Macaca fascicularis: one gene and its partners. The protein of the gene in region 3 purifies or fractionates together with the protein of the main gene of each other region. This does not show direct contact. Links are inferred from orthologs where the notes say so. Each region holds a gene or a part of one and is shown on either strand. Other genes may lie near its edges.

Region 1 (3,749 bases), on a different chromosome or scaffold from region 3:
GAGGAGGGGGCTCATTAGGTCAGAAGCAACCTGCCGTCTTCTAAGTTCTGGCCAAGGGTAGATCAACGGATCCAGATTCCTGAGTTTTAAAATGTTATTAGGCTGCTTCATCACTTGTCCCTGACGTTGCAGCGACTCCGATGGTAACTTTAGCCTCCATTGCTTGGAGCAGCCACAGCGTACACCGGACAGGATATTCCGCGCAGCTGTTGCTGAACTCAAGGCAACTCCTATCGCCTTTCTCTTTTCGGAGCTCAAGATTCCTTGCATTATTGCCCATAGGCATGTGTTTTACCCCACACTCCTTCTCCCTTTTATCTTGATTTTCGTGGTGCTGGGGAGTCTGCAGGGATTCCATGGCGACGGGTTCACTGGGACAGGGGCTGGGGTTGTGCGTCCCTGAGGCAAAGCAAATACAGAAAAGGGAATAGAGATAGAGGGCTAAGACTCCCAGGCACTGAAAGGTAGAAACTGGGTTATAAGAGAGAGGGGAGCACAGACGCCCGGAGAGAGCCTGCCCTCGGGATACCACTGGCGGTAGGCTGGCCTCGGAACAACTAGAAGGTCCAAGCCCTGAGCGTCTGGTTACCCGGGCAACTTTATGGTCTCGCGATACAGACCTCGCGCCTGCGCACTGCCGTTGTAGGGGGCCCAGTCCGGAGCCTCCACCCCGGGGCCTAAACTCGAATCTAAAAGATGGGGCCTCGTTGTGTTGTTTCCGGGCCGCGCGACGCTGTGGGCTGCTTTCCCCTTTCCGGAGTGACCTAACACAGGATAACGAAACCTGCAGTGCTCCTAGCGCTTCCGCTCCGCCCCGTCGCGTCTGGGAGGCGAAGCCGGGAGGCGAGCGCTCTGCGCATGCGCGGCGCAGGCGCACTTGGAGCCGGTGCTGCAACCCTCAGGTGAAGGCGGATCCGCCACCGTGAGTTCCAGGTGGGCGCGCGGGGCCCACGTAGGGCAGGAGGCCAGCCCCGGGGGCATCGGGCCTGGGACTCCACGGAATCTGGAGGCCGAAGCCCGCGCGCACGCAAGGCCTCCGCTGCTTCCCCGACGCCTCTTGCGTGGCCGCGGAACCCGCCGCCCTCTCGGTTGGGCTACCCAGTCCCGGGCCAGGCGTGTGCACCCAGAGCTTCCGCGCCTCTCCTCGGGCTCCTCTGCTGGATTGCAGCGCCGTCTGGGCACCAGGAGTGCAAAGCGAAAACCGCACGCCGGCCGTTCTGTTCTCCACGGTCTCCAAGGAGACACGGACCGATCCAGGGGCGGCGTGCAGTGGGGAGGTGAGCTTTGGGTCGGCCGTCGCCCCTCGGCTACCGGCGGGATCCAGAAACCGGAAGTCACCACCGATACCCTTCTCACCTTTACTCCCAGCTGGTCACTACTGTGTCGGGAGATTCTACCTTCTTTTCCGACTAACATGTATTTCTCTCCAGTCCTTTCTGCGGTGTCTCTAGTGTAGGCCACCGCCATTTCTAACCTGGACGACTCCGGGGGCGTGTTTGCTGCTCAAGGATTCTTCCTTTGCCCAGATCCACAAAGATCTATAACGTCTTTCTAATCATGACGCCTCTGCTTTAGACGTTAAAGTTGCTTCACACTGGAAGGCTTGCAAAGGTCTTCATTATCTGGTCCTTACCCACCTTTCCTAGTTTCTCACTGCTTTCTCTAGCATCTCTGCCCCAGCCACACTGAACTTATTGGAACTTGCTTTTTTTTTTTTTTTTTTTTTTTTTTTTTTTTTTTTTTTTTTTGAGACATAGCAGTCGCCCAGGCTGGAGTGCAGTGGCGCGATCCTGGCCCACTGCAACCTCCTCCTGCCGGGTTCAAGCGATTCTTCTGCCTCAGCCTCCCGAGTAGCTGGGACTACAGGCGCGCGCCACAACGCCCGGCTGTTTTTCGTATTTTTAGTAGAGACGGGTTACCATGTTGGTCAGGCTGGTCTCGATCTCCTGGCCTTAAGTGATCCGCCCGCCTGGGCCTCCCAAAGTGCTGAGATTACAGGCGTGAGCCACCTTGCCAGTCAACTTCTTTCTTTTAATGCTGAGATACCTTTCTTTACTCCATACTCCCTTTGGTTGGCATTGTTTAGATGTAGGTTGAGAGGTCCGGCCGGGTTCCTCTTAGTCCCAGACTAAGTGCTCACGCCTGTAGTCCCAGCACTTTGGGAGGCCGAGGTGGTTGGATCACAAGGTCAGGAGATCGAGACCATCCTAGCCAACATGATGAAACCCCATCTCCACTAAAAAAAAAATAAGAAAATTAGCCGGACATGGTGACGCGCGCCTGTACTGTAGTCCCAGCTACTCGGGAGGCTGAGGCAGGAGAATCGCTTGAACCCGGGAGGCAGGCGGAGGATGCAGTAAGCCGATATTGTGCCACTGCACTTCAGCCTGGCGACAGAATGAGACTCCGTCTCAAAAGGGGGGGAAAAAAAAAGCAGTTCCTCTATGAGGACTGCCTTTTCCTACCCCCTCAACTAAGCTAGGCCTCTGCTGGATATTCCCTAAGCATCCTGTAGTTCCCTGACCTTCATGTGCATCAGGCTTTATTGTATAATTACCTGCTGATATTTTTTCCTTGTGGACTGTAACCTCACTGAGGTCTGCGACAAAAATTACTTATGGCCTGGCACATCCTGGATAATCCAGAAAGGTGGTGCCTGTGGCTGAGGGTGGGAGTGGTATTCCAGGCAGAGGGACTAATGTATATAGACTTGAAGGTGGGAAAATGCTGGCCTCATTAAATAGTATGTGGTTCGGTGTTGAGGTCTTGTGCTTGGTGGGGCCTAAGGAGAAAGAGGCTGGTGGGAGATTGAGACTGGAGGTTGGAGGGCCTTTTATGTCACATTAGAGTTTGGGTGGGGCATGATAGCTCATGCCTGCAGCCCAGCACTTTGGGAGGCCGAGGCTGGGGGATTGCCTGAGCCTAGGAGTTGAAAACCAGCCTGGGCAACAAAGCAAGACCCTGTCTCTACGGAGTTGTTTTTTTTTTTTTGTTTTTTTTTTTGTTTTTGTTTTTTTGAGACAGAGTCTTACCCCGTTGCCCAGGCTGGAGTGCCGTGGTGCGATTTCGGCTCACTGCAGCCTCTGCCTCCTGGGTTCAAGCGATTCTCATACCTCAGCCACCCAAGTAGCTGGGATTACAGTTGCGCATCACTACACCTGGCTAATTTTTGTATTTTTAGTTTAGACTGGGTTTCACCATATTTGCCAGGCTGGTCTCGAACGCCTAACCTAAAGTGATCCGTCCAGCTTGGCCTCTCAAAGTGCTGGGATTACAGGCGTGAGCCACCGTGCCCAGCCTATACAGAAAATTTAAAAATTAAAAAACTTTTCTGGGCTTGGTGGTGTGCGCCTATAATCCCAGCTACTTAGCAGGAGGCTGAGGTGGGAGGATCGCTTGAACCCAAGAGTTCAAGGCTGCAGTGAGCCATGATCAAACGACTGCATTACAGCCCGGTGACAGGGCAAGACTGTCTAGAAAAAAGTGTTTGCCCTTGATCTATAGGCAGCAGACGCCTCTTGAGACACAGCTCTAAAAGGACCTCAGCAAAGCCTTATTTTCCTCCCTTTCTCTAAAGCTATACAATCTTACCAGTCAGTATTTTGTTTCTGGATTATATTGCATGAGATTATGCTTATCCAAACTACTTGGCTCTCTTTATCTCCCTAGCAGATTCTGCAGGCGGGAGAAGTTTATAGCCTGTTTTGTGATCCCTCCGGAGCATGGTTTTAAGTATTTACTCTGTGGTG
Region 2 (3,557 bases), on a different chromosome or scaffold from region 3:
CACAGCCCAAGTCCCAGCTTCTCTGCTGAATAGTAATTTCCAGCAGTGGATTTGCGCTCAGTCTCTCTCCTCCCCTTTTCCCAAGGGTGTGCTGTCCTTTCTCAGAGAGAGGGCAGCGAAGGGGAGATCCTACTCACGGAGCTGGGGGCTTTGTGCCAGCCTTCTGGGTAAGGTTCAGTTTATTGTCTGGAGGCTGCAGGTTCAGGGACCTCAGCAGGGTCTGCCACCCTTTGCAGTGACCTCCAGGAGAGTTCATCCATGCTCTCCTTCCACTCCTTCCTTTCTCTCCCAGAAAAGCAATGTGCCACTCCCTTTCCCTTAGTGGTGATGTACAGGGGAGCATGGGCCCCCCATGGGCCACAGCTCCTGAGGCCAGGGCCAGCCCGGGAGGGCAGAGTGGGGGAGGAGAGAGGAAAAAGCCAGGGACTGGGAAGTGCCTTGCACCATTTTGAAGCTGTCCAGTCTCTATGCCTGACCCTGAAGACTCCAAAGGATCAGGACGCAAGGCTGGAGGGGAGGGGAGACACAAAGGGCCAGGCCAGAGCTGTCTCTGCACAGGCGGGTGGTTAGAAAAAAATTTGGGGACAGAGCCATTTTTGTGCTTGTTTTATTGGAAGCAAGACTCCAGTTGCAGGGCTGGGGGAGGAGGCCTGGAGGGTTCAGTCCTGGGTCTCCCTCTGGGCCAGCAGGGGGAAAAGGGGTGTTAAAAGAGCTAGAACCCTCAGAGATGCTCCTCTGAAGCAGGGGAAGGAAAACTAGAAAGGAAAACTGTCCCAGGGCGGGGAGTGGAATAGGACCCCCACATCTCAGACTCTCCTACCCTCAAGCAGTCAAGTCTCACCCCCTGCCTTCTCTGTCAACGGTGGGGGTGATTCCAATAACTCTTCTCGGCTTCCGCACTCCAGGTGCCCTTCGTGAATGCTGGGTGGCTTTAACCCTTGGGGGTCCCAATCAGGTTTCCAGAATCCCACTGTCCACCATTCTCCCCCAAAGAAGGTCCCAGAAAAGGTGAAGGTGAAGTTCCGTGTCTTCAGGCAACACGGGCATAAGCAGCAATCATCGCACGAAGTTTCCCTAAGGTCGTCGGGGATCCTCTCCTGCCACTTCTGGGGCCCCTCTCTTGTCGCCTTAAGGTCCATGCTATCTGCCTTGAGGAGCTGTGTCCAGGTTGTGGGTTCCGGAGGACCGAGGAGTGAAAGGCTGGAGGTGCATTTGAGGGTGGAGGCGCTGGCGGAAGATCCCGCCCACAGTCCGGAGTTTTAGGCCGTCCGATCCTCGTCCGCAGCCCCTGGCTCGGGTTGCGATCGCTTCGCGGAGCCTTCTCCAGCTGCGGGTTCCCCTAGGCTCCTCTTGGACGTTGGCGCGGCTGGCGGGGACGACGGACCAGGATCGGGGTTCGGGGGCTGGTAGCCGGGCTGTCGCGGATCCAGCGCGTCCTTGGAAAGTAGGATGGCGAGGCTGGGCACGTTCTTAAGTACGCTGAGACTAGCGACCGGCTCGCCAGGCGTCTGACCCTGCGTGGGCCCAGGCGGGAGGCTCTGCCACACCTCGCGCACGCTCCGGTAGCGCAGCCGCGTGACCTGGTGCAGGCCCGCCAGGCGGCGCTTGAGGATCTCGGCGCACGTGACGGTTTTGGTGGTGGCCCGGCCGCAGCCGCTGAAGACGATGGCGCGCGTGGCTGGCTGCGCCATGCTGGCGGTGGCGAAGGCCATCAGGTTCCGGATCTTGCTGCCTTCCTTGACCCGCATGTGCACCGCGCCCGGCGCCAGGTCTGCGAAGGGGCCAGAGCCCGGGCCGCCCCCCTCGGCCCCGCCCCCCGCTGGCGCCTCTTCGGAGCGCACCTTACGGAAGTTCTCCATGCGCCGTCGTCGCCGGGACCGCCGGCTTTGCCATGGGGCGGCCTCAACCCCGGGGCTGCATGGCCGCCGGTCTCGCCCTGCAAGGGCCCGCAGGGGTAAGGGCGCGGAAGCAGCTCGGACGCCGGCGGGCGGGTTGGGACGGCGCGATCTCGGCCCCACTTCTCTCGAGCGGGCGCCGCTCTACTCCGCGCTCTCGGCGCCCGGTGCTCCGCGCCTTTAGCTGAGGCCCCGCCCCTGCCGCCAGGCCCCTCCCCTGACCCGGCCCGGCCCGGCCCGCCCGGGCCCCAGCCTCACCAGCCTTTCGTGGCAAGTCCGGGTCCTCAGCTACGCGGGCGTGGGAGCTGGCGTGGGAGCGGGCGCGCTGCGGGGCGCATGGGCAGGTGAAGGTGAAGTTCCACGACAATCGCCATCAGCGCTCTCCGAGCCAACCCTCACAAACCGGCAGCCTAAATAAAAGCTGCGCTTGCGGTGCAAACACCAATTCAAACCCGGTATCCTAGCCCTTCCCCGTTGCAGTTGAAGGCCGCCCCTCGTCCCCTCCCAGGGAGAAATTTCCGAGAGGCTTGCTGGGGCCTCGCCCCTCCTCTCCCCGCTGGGGAACACCCCCACCTTTTTTCCGCTCCCAAGTATTCTTGCCTCAAGGACAGCTAGTGCGCGGTCAGCAGAGTGCGGGAGGAGCTGGCTGCGGCTCCACTCCGCGCCTCCCCTCGGGCGACTACGTCGCGGCGTGGTCCTCGCGGGGCGCGGGAGACCCAGGCTTCAGCCTCGCCACGCCTGTCTAGAGCTCGAGGCTCCCGGACCCCCGTCCACCCCTGGGACGTGAGGAGTGAGGCTTTGGGCCAAGCTGTTCCCCGAGGCGCGTGAGGAAGCGGGCGAGACCTCTTCTGAAAAGGCGGTAGGCTCGCTCCACCTATGCCCGAGAGCCCACCCTTAGGGCTGCGCGCTTTAGGGTGAGCCAGGCACGATGCCATGCCAACGTGGCCGCCCCTTTCCTCCCAGGCGAAATTCGATCAGGCAACCTTGGCCCCTTGAGATCCAGTGGGTCTTTTTTCGAACGGAGGCTGGGTGAACGCAGGTTTTAAGAAAGAGAAGGGAGGGGCCGGGCTCGGTGTCTCACACCTGTAATCTCAGCACTTTGAGAGGCCGAGGCGGGCGGATTACTTGAGGTCAGGAGTTCGAGACCAGCCTGGCCAACATGGTGAAAACCCGTCTCCATTAAACATACAAAAATCAGCTGGGTGTGGTGGCGCGCGCCTGTAATCCCAGCTGCTCAGGAAGCTGAGGCAGGAGAAGCGCTTGAACCCGGGAGCTGAAGGCTGCAGTGAGCCGAGATCACGCCACTGCACTTCACCCAGGGTGACAGAGTAAAACTATGTCTCAAAAAAAAAAAAAAAAAAAAAAAAAATTAATTAAATAAAAAAGAAAGAGAAGGGAGGGAAAGCCCATTCTCCATGATGTGATTATTATGCATTGCATGCCTGTATCAAAACATCTCATGTACCCTCTAAATATAGACACCTATTATGTACCCACAAAAATGAAAAAGAAAGACTTTAAAAAAATAAAAGAGAGAAAGAAGGGAGGAAGATGGGGAGTTGAAGCCCTGGGGGCATTATAGAGCTACTGGATGCCTCTCTTCGGAAACTCCTCGGGACCGAAGGAGAGGCCCGGGGTCTCCTGCCGGGTGAGAGAAGCATT
Region 3 (2,913 bases):
ATATCAGTACTAAAATGTACTACAGTGTATTTCTAATTTTTTAAAAATTGTAGTTTTGATTCTTATATAGTATAAAAGAATCAAATTAATTCTAGCAGTGTCTAATCTTCTGATTGTATGTTTTTTTTCTGGAACAAAATATCCTCAAACGTATGTCTCCAACTTCATGTAGGAGTAGAAAATTACTGAAGCAGCTGTCAGCCTGGTGTGGGCCCAGTTCTGAGGACACTCGGGGAGCCCGGCGAGCTCCTGGCAGAGGCCAGCAAGGATTGACCAGAGAGGCCTGCCTGTCCATCTTGGGCCACTTCCCCAGGGCCCTGGTGTGGGTCAGCCTGTCCCTGCTCAGCAAGGGCAGCCCCGAGCCTCACACCATGATCTGCGTCCCAGCCAAGGAGGACTTCCTCCAGCTCCGTGAGGACTGGCATTACTGTGGGCCCCAGGAATCCAAACACAGTGACCCATTCAGAAGCAAGATCCTGGAACAGAAAGAGAAGAAGAAAAGGGAGAAGAGGCAGAAGGCGGGACGCGCCTCTTCTGATGGCCCAGTGTGGGAAGAGCCCGTGGCTGGGCAGGAAGCTCTGACTCTGGGGCTGTGGTCAGGCCCTCTGCCGCGTGTGACGATGCACTGCTCCAGAACTCTCCTAGGCTTTGTGACTCAGGGAGATTTTTCCATGGCTGTTGGCTGTGGAGAAGCCCTGGGGTTTGTTAGCTTGACAGGCTTGCTGGATATGCTGTCCAGCCAGCCGGCGGTGCAGAGGGGCTTAGTGCTACTGAGGCCTCCCGCCTCTCTGCAATATCGATTTGCGAGGATTGCTATTGAGGTGTGAACGTGCGCTTATATCCCAGCAGGGCATAGATAATACGTTATTATTGTCTGCCAAGTTTCACATGTGGAGAGTCTGCTTCTGCTTCAAAACATCATGTGAAACTCCTTGGAAACAAGAATAAAAAATTATGTATTATGCAGATGATAAAATGTTTACATCATTCCAGTAATGTCATTGATTTCCATCTTTCCCTGTCCTTGCTGTAATACTTTTAAATTATTGGGCCAAAAGCTTTGTATTATGATCTCTTGGTCTGTGTAGTTGTGGCTGAAAATAATTAGAAGCTCTACAAGTTATCATCCCCCTTTTTTGTTAGGAACAAAGGGCTTGTCAGGTCTATTTGAAAAACCTTGTAGTCATGTGATAAGCAACAATAGATGTTTAATGATTTCACTGTTACAACAGAAGACAAGACAAGACGCTTGGCCTCTGGACATGAAATATGGGCCCCTGATGGGCCACATTCAATTCTGTACTGTGATTACCATGCTGAACAACTCAAAGGGAGAAATCATGGACAACTGATTGCTACCTGTTTTCAGGCAGGCAAAGTTTATGGCGACAGTGCTAGGCTGGAATTAGAAAGGGGGGGTCTATGACGTGGACTTCCTGACTCTTTGATCTCTTTGTTGTTGACCAACACATGATCCTACTAGTTACTTAATTTTTTTAAGTAAAAAAATTATTATTGTTTTGTTTCTGCAAAGAATTTCTCAAAGCCATAGAGGAGCATTTCTCAGATTGTGTTCTATGAAATGTGTCACCACCAAAAATAAGAGATTCCAAGGTCAGGTTGATATGGAAACTCTGGGTTAAAGTTAAGCATTTCTTTATGAAAGGACTTCTGGAAACTTCCATGTGATACTGTACATTGTTGATCTCCAGGAAGGGAATGATAGTGTATAGTATTTTCTAAATACTTTGATTCCTAAAGTTCTCTTACAAGGAGCACTTTGTAGGACCAGTGTTCTTAGGAGCGCGCTTTGGGCAGTGTGGCTGTGTAGTGCATAGCTACCTCTGCAAGGTGATAACTAAGCCGGCAAGCTGCCTTTCGGCATTCATGCAGTCACATTGTCCACCTGAGATTCTCAACAGGGTATAAAAGAAAGGTGTTATCCTGCCCCACGGGAAGAGTGGGCTCAGTGTGACTTTTTTTCTACGAATGGAGAAACTCAGTGCTCATCTACTTTTAGTTGCCACATACGGCTCACTCATAGCCTTGGTCCTTAACTTTCCTGCCATAAATTTCTAGAAGAGCATAAGCGGGATTTTTTTCTAAAAATTGTAAATGTGCAGTTAGGCATTATTTTATGTAAATGCATTGGGTTTTTACTGTAGCGTTTGGCAGTAAATAGCTTTGGGGATGATGAGGTGGGGAAGGATACGGCAGGTGGTACAGTAGTCAGAAAGTACCTGCCACCAATGAGATGTCTGATGCTTTGCCTCTCACCATGCCTCTGAATGTCTTTGGATCCAACCCAGATGAGACCGAGAAAAACCAGTGTAACTACGTGGCGCCTGTAAACAGAATAAATGAAAATGTCACCTGATGTTCAGTTGTGAATATTTATTGGACCATTCCTTATTTGTTTTCTGGGCTCTCAGTCACCTCATTTGTGGCTGAGCTCACTCGATGACAGAAGTCTGAGTGTGCTGCGTGGTCACCTAACCTCATTCTGTGCAGCCCTGCCCTCATTATAGAGGACAGGGCACGTTTGCAGCCACTCTGCCTTGTGGGTGGTAGGTCAAAGAGCTGTGCACCAGAAAGATAGACTAGTATTTCCCAAAATGTATTCCTGGGAGTACTAGTCCCTGCAGCTGTTCCTGGAGAAAAGTGTTCTATGGCTAAATAAATTTGGGAAAAGCTATATATGGTATCCTCCTATTGCGATTCACAATGAATAATTGTATAGTCAAAGCTCTGCAAAGCTCTTTAGGAAAGAAATCTGTCTTTCAGACCCCACACACGTACCTTTTTTGGTTTTTGCATACCTATTGTCCAGAGAAAACTAGTTTCACAGAAGATACTTTGAAAAACTAACAGAATCTGCAGAGGCAGTAAAGAATCCATGTTCCTTATGAAAAA

The links.
Region 1: the proteins of POP1 (region 3) and RPP38 purify together in Homo sapiens (affinity purification with mass spectrometry; 3 studies listed by BioGRID and IntAct, with this or other methods). This does not show direct contact. The link is inferred for Macaca fascicularis from reciprocal best matches to the Homo sapiens genes POP1 and RPP38.
Region 2: the proteins of POP1 (region 3) and RPP25 purify together in Homo sapiens (affinity purification with mass spectrometry; 3 studies listed by BioGRID and IntAct, counting the BioPlex papers as one, with this or other methods). This does not show direct contact. The link is inferred for Macaca fascicularis from reciprocal best matches to the Homo sapiens genes POP1 and RPP25.

Annotation. Positions count from the first base shown.
Region 1 is NC_088383.1:16,009,961-16,013,709, forward strand, and holds the start of RPP38 (ribonuclease P protein subunit p38), read left to right. Parts: upstream 1-867; 5' UTR 868-922; exon of another isoform or gene 923-1,277; intron 1,278-3,749. UniProt on the Homo sapiens protein: Component of ribonuclease P, a ribonucleoprotein complex that generates mature tRNA molecules by cleaving their 5'-ends. Also a component of the MRP ribonuclease complex, which cleaves pre-rRNA sequences.
Region 2 is NC_088381.1:52,083,380-52,086,936, forward strand, and holds RPP25 (ribonuclease P protein subunit p25), read right to left. Parts: upstream 2,049-3,557; 5' UTR 1,860-2,048; coding exon 1,260-1,859; 3' UTR 594-1,259; downstream 1-593. UniProt on the Homo sapiens protein: Component of ribonuclease P, a ribonucleoprotein complex that generates mature tRNA molecules by cleaving their 5'-ends. Also a component of the MRP ribonuclease complex, which cleaves pre-rRNA sequences.
Region 3 is NC_088382.1:107,799,442-107,802,354, forward strand, and holds the end of POP1 (ribonucleases P/MRP protein subunit POP1), read left to right. Parts: intron 1-172; coding exon 173-827; 3' UTR 828-2,377; downstream 2,378-2,913. UniProt on the Homo sapiens protein: Component of ribonuclease P, a ribonucleoprotein complex that generates mature tRNA molecules by cleaving their 5'-ends. Also a component of the MRP ribonuclease complex, which cleaves pre-rRNA sequences.